2 linked regions of the Kluyveromyces lactis genome follow. The protein of the gene in region 2 purifies or fractionates together with the protein of the main gene of each other region. This does not show direct contact. Links are inferred from orthologs where the notes say so. Each region holds a gene or a part of one and is shown on either strand. Other genes may lie near its edges.

What was found. The genes of interacting proteins can lie anywhere in the genome.
Region 1: the proteins of BRF1 (region 2) and RPC17 purify together in Saccharomyces cerevisiae (affinity purification with mass spectrometry; 3 studies listed by BioGRID, with this or other methods). This does not show direct contact. The link is inferred for Kluyveromyces lactis from reciprocal best matches to the Saccharomyces cerevisiae genes BRF1 and RPC17.

What each region holds. Positions count from the first base shown.
Region 1 is NC_006042.1:2,114,253-2,116,669, reverse strand, and holds RPC17 (DNA-directed RNA polymerase III subunit RPC17), read left to right. Parts: upstream 1-1,449; coding exon 1,450-1,917; downstream 1,918-2,417. Other genes in the region: CRH1 (transglycosylase), read left to right, coding at 1-1,140; VTC4 (Vtc4p), read left to right, coding at 2,145-2,417. UniProt on the Saccharomyces cerevisiae protein: DNA-dependent RNA polymerase catalyzes the transcription of DNA into RNA using the four ribonucleoside triphosphates as substrates. Specific peripheric component of RNA polymerase III which synthesizes small RNAs, such as 5S rRNA and tRNAs.
Region 2 is NC_006037.1:496,688-500,044, reverse strand, and holds BRF1 (transcription factor TFIIIB subunit BRF1), read right to left. Parts: upstream 2,172-3,357; coding exon 501-2,171; downstream 1-500. Other genes in the region: CPD1 (2',3'-cyclic-nucleotide 3'-phosphodiesterase), read left to right, coding at 2,538-3,179. UniProt on the Saccharomyces cerevisiae protein: General activator of RNA polymerase III transcription. Interacts with TBP. Binds to Pol III subunit C34 and to the TAU135 component of TFIIIC.

The DNA.
Region 1 (2,417 bases), on a different chromosome or scaffold from region 2:
ATTATGTTTGGTAAAGTTCAAGCGATTGCCAAGGCTGCCGGTGGTCAAGGTATTATTTCCTCATTCTATTTGCAAAGTGATGATCTTGATGAAATTGATATCGAATGGACTGGTACTGATACTACTCAAGTTCAATCCAATTTCTTCTCCAAGGGTGAAACTACTACATTTGACCGTGGTGCTTTCCATTCGGTGGACGATCCTCAAGGTTCTTACCACAATTATACCATTGATTGGACTAAGGATGAAATCAATATCTATGTCGACAGTGCACTGGTAAGGACTATCACCAGTGACAATGGTCAAGGATACCCAGAGTCTCCAATGCGTATTTTCACAGGTATTTGGGCTGGTGGTGATTCCCAAAACGAGCCCGGAACCATTGAATGGGCAGGTGGTTTGACCGATTATACCAAAGCTCCATTCAGCATGTATTTGAAAGACGTTATCGTTGTTGATTACTCCACTGGTACAGAATACTCATACTCAGGCACCGATGGTACTTGGGAATCTATTGAAGCTAATGATGGTGAGGTGTATGGTAGATATGATCAAGGAGTAGCAGATTTCGATAAGTTAGCTTCTGGTGGAAGCGTATCAGACGACACTTCATCTTCATCCTCCTCATCCTCCACATCTTCATCTTCAACCAAGACAAGTGCATCTCCATCTACATCCAAATCTTCATCCACTTCCTCATCCTCATCTTCATCCTCATCCTCATCCGCATCATCATCATCCTCATCCTTATCCTCATCCTCCCCCACTACGACTTCTAAATCTAGTACCACAATTCCAACTACTTCCACTGAAAGCACCTTGAACACAACTAGTGCTTCATCTACCAGTGCTTCATCATCCAGTATTACTGCATTGAACACAACATCTTCCTCCACTTCCCTATCATCTTCTTCAACTCAGTTGAATACAACTGAATCTCTAATAACTTCCACGGAAGAACTTGTGACCACAGGTTTCTCATCTTTGGTCACTACCACCGCTGCTGACGAAGAGATCACATCGTATGCCACTGGCGAGACAAGCTCATCAGCTGCTTTAACATCCACACAGTCAGAAAACGCTGCTGCTTTCAATTTACCGCAATTGCTTGCTATCATTCCAGCACTTCTACTTCTCTAATAAATAGTCATTTTGTAATATAAACTAACCTCGTTGAATTTTAATAGGTGCATCTTAATCGCTATGGTACCAGCATCAGCCATGCAACTGGTATGCACAAAGCAGGATACGTATACCCTGAGCACTTGTTTCGTTCATCTAAATCATGATACACGGGATTATTTTTCACCGCTTCGAATATATTGAAAGCCATGCAAAGAGAAGAGATGAGCTGAGTTGAGATCAAAGAGTAGCAAGTAATAAAGACTGTATCGGCCTATACTGAATTATCCAAGTAAAAAGCTTCTCATATAACAAAATTCCAAGAAAATGCGCGTGCTTGAGGAAAAAAACGCTTTTATGAGCGACTACGAAACTTTGCAGTTCCTCATATCATTACAGAATCAACACCGATGGACCTCTGGATCAAAATCAGACAGGAAACACAACAAACCATACTACCATCCAGAACTGCAAACGATAACCAGAGACACGGTAAGGTACATAACACAGCGTTCCACTACAGCAGAAGACCCAGAAGAACCAGAAACGTCGGACAAGACCGTACCCAATAACGCCAACAAATCCACACTGCTGAACCTAACTACAGACCAATTCTCAACACTAATGCAAGAATTAAATGCTTTCCCACTATACAAAGCAGAAAAACTACAAATAGTGAACCAATTACCAACAAACTTGGTCCATTTGTATAGCATAGTCGAAGAGTGCGAATCAAGACTTGACGAAGGTCAGGTGACCTCGCTTCTCGAATGCATCTCCCGCACGTGCCTCTAATTATTATACACCATAATACAATATCTATAATGTTTAAATGCTTGGAGAAAAAAATCACATATAACAGACCGAAATACAATGAGAAAAAAGATCAGGAACATGAGTTTCAATGTTTCCAAGTGACAGTATAAGGGAAAAAAGGGATACCCTAGAATAAAGTAGTTATCAGGGCTTCTGAGTGGGTTAGACTTGCATCAGGACCTTTGAAATAGCTGATACTGATAACGATGGTAAAATTTGGTGAACATTTGAAGCGATCTTTGATTCGTGAGTACAGTTATTACTATATCAGTTACAATGACTTGAAGACGGAGTTACAGGAATCCTTGGAAGCTAACAACGGAAAATGGAACGAGGATTTGGAGACTCAGTTTTTGGAGTCCTTGGAAATTGAATTGGATAAAGTGTACACTTTTTGCAAAGTGAAGCATAACGAGGTAGTGCGTCGTATCAAGCAAGCCCAGGAACAAGTTTCTGTCGCTGTGCGTTCTTTGGATACA
Region 2 (3,357 bases):
GTTGATTTGCACAAGTTCGAATAGTGTTAGGCAACTTTAGTTGTCTCGGAGTGATATACTTTGTTCATACATAGGTTCTATCTCATCGCATCTCATCTCAAAATTTTCTTCCTTCTAAAAAATTTCTTTTCACTCACGGTACGGAAAGAAGAAACCAGAGGCAAAAAGTGGGTTTAAGGCTCTTTAATATCTGAATAGGCAAAATGGTATACTGATGGTAGCTTATTATTGTGTTCCATAAATGAATAATAGTCCACACCAAACGAATATTTGTTTGCAATGTTTATAAATTATGTACGCCGTTTAAATATAGTTCCAAAAATATAATCGAAATGAAATTGATACACCAATTTAGTGTAAAATATTAAAATAAAAAAGAGCAAAAACAGACATCTGTATCAAGTAACGATATGTAAATAGCAGTTGGTATTCATATAATTTTCTTGAGTTTGATCTGATGGATATCGTACAAGAGAAGAGAAACAGTGACGACGTAGAAACTATTTTTGTCCAAAGAGACCGTTAATAGCATCGTAATTGATCTTCTTTGAGAAAGTCGTCTTTTGTAATAGATTCTTGACACCTCCAGCTGCGACAACATCTACAGCATCAGCGTCATCCACGGAAACATCAAGCGGTAGTCCGTCGACTTGAACTTTGACGATGCTTGCACTGGATTGGTTTCTATTAGTACGTTTGCTGCGTTTTTTTCGTAGCGAAGTATTCCCACTGGCCAAATCTGCTTCCTGTTTGAGTCTTTTTGATTCTTGTTCAATCAAGTAATCACCGTTGATATCAATCCAAATACGTTCTTTCAATTTGGAAGCTTCTTCATCTAACAAGTGAGAATCCAATTCTGCATCATCAACATCATCCAAATTTTCAGGATGATCGCTGACTTTTGAAAGCAGAGAAGCTGTGGTGGGTAATAAATGTAAATTTCTTGGTCTATATGGATCCTTTTCAAGACTATATCCATCAATTTCATCCAGGGAACGTTTCTTGTCTTTCTCAGTTTTGTGTAAGTCTTCTCCATCGATTCCATGCGTAGCTTTTATACGACTGAATTCAGCTTTTCTGCGTTCAGAAAGCTTCTTCAAATAATAAAGGACTTCTTTAGACGATAGTTCCTGCGCTCCGAGCACTTGAGTCAAAATTGGATTTCTTGACACGGCTTCCTCGCTTGTCTCCAACATCTCTTTAGTATCCAAAGAATCTTTTATTTTCTTTTCCTTTAGTCTGTTCTTATCGAAACTAGGAGGTTTCGATTCGGCACTTCTCTCACCCTCATTTACCTCAGTTTCATCATCACGGAACTCTTTCACGGAGAGCTTAGCTGATGTTGTATTCTTAAACTCATTCAATCTTTGCTGAAGCGTTTCCTCTGCAACATGAGATATTGCCACGATTTCAGAATGCGTTCTTCTCAAATTGTTCATTCTACAGGCAAGTAAGAGACATGCACCTGCGATACCAGCTGGTCTTCTCCCTTCATACATCCAATCTCTGGACATAGTTTGTGCCAGTTTCACAGCGTCCCTTATCACTTTAATCTTTTTATCACCAAGCTCCAATTTCTCCGCGAAATGTTGAATGAACAAAGATGGGTCAGCTAGAGGTAACTTAACTATTTGTAACTTCTTCGCTAGCTTCAAAAATGTGGCACCAATAGAATAAACACTCACTTGTAACCTTGATGAAAAGTCAATAAGCATGTGATGAGTACGTTCTTTACGACATGCGATGTACAAACAAGCGGCAATCACATTTTGTGATTTCCTACCTTGAACAAAATTATTACTCAAAGCCAATCTATACCATTGGAAAGCAGCATCAGTAACATATTCGGGAATATTTAACGCATAGGAGACAGCTTTCAACTTCCGCCTAGCGTTGTTCAAAGTAGTTTCTCTGGACATCAAAGCATTCTGACCGGAATGTGACATAAACGTTGGATGTGCCTGATTCGCACTGACAAAAGCACCCTGAATGACAGCTGCACCATTACTAGCCTCACCGAACGTGACTTCAGACACGATAGAGTTCTCTTCAGTGACTAAACCACATACTTTACAGATCAATTCATTAGTAGTATTACTAATATCACGGACAAAATCCGTCGAACCACAGTTCTTACACTTTCGTGACGAAACCTGTAAAGTGGATGCCATCCTCTTGAAGCTGGTTTCCTGGCCTGAATGTGCTTCTCAACTGTTATAACCCAGTTTTTTCGCTCTTCTTCTACTTGTGGGAGTGATGAAACCGGCGATATTTTGTTGTTTTCTAATGTCAACTTCTTTACATTCAAAAAAAAAAAAAAAACGCTCTTTCGATAATGATGAACTTATCATTACATATAGGGACAAGAACTTTGAACAGGACAGTATTCAAGGGTACTTTCACTATTCAAAGGTTGAAGATTGACATACTTATAAGCTAAACTTGTCAATTTCTTTTGTTGCTGTCAGGGAATACTTAGTGACCTTACTCGGCTAAACTATCCCTATATTATCCTGCTTGTGCTCAATTAGGGAAGAATGGGTATATCTCTATGGTTATGTCCATATGGACACAGTCCTGAATATGAGACTTTTAAAACTCTGATAGAGTCATTACAAACTTTATTCCCGAATTCTCCTGTATTTGAGCCCCATGTTACTGTGTGTAGTGGTCTCTCATGTGAGAACATGGAGGAAGTGCATAAGGTACTTGAGATGGCTCATCATGCTATAAATGCAGTAAAATCTAAAGTAGATAGTGAGAATGCGCTTGTCGAGTTTGATGGTTTCAATATTGGCAAGAAGTACTTTGAGAAATGCAGATTGGAGTGCAAACCAAACCCTATGTTGTACAGTCTCGCGAAGTTGATAAGATCGATGTTCGTCGGAGAATTGAACATTGATACCTGGTTATTTGAGGAATTCCATCCACATCTTTCGCTAGCCTACTCAGATATCTATCCGATGGACCAAGCAATGATACGGTTGATAAGGCAGAGAATTGAAGACTTATTTGATGTAACTACAGAAGAAATAGAGTCGCATAGCAGGGACCAAGACGCGTATAAATTACAACACACTCTCAAAGGATGGTCTTTCCCGTTGACTTTCAAAGTGGTCAGATGTGAAGGTCCTGTAGAAGAATGGGAAGTGCTATCAGAAGTGACAGTCCATGGATAAGGCAAGTCAATGTCATATAATACCAGTATATAAATACAAATATGCATAATAGTAATGTAATGGTGAAAACTTGAAAAAAAATGGTTTCAAATAGTATAAAAGGAAAAAAGGTTCTCTTTGAATAGCAAAGAGTATCGGGTTTATCACAATACATGTTTGTTTCTGGCTGCAGATAGGG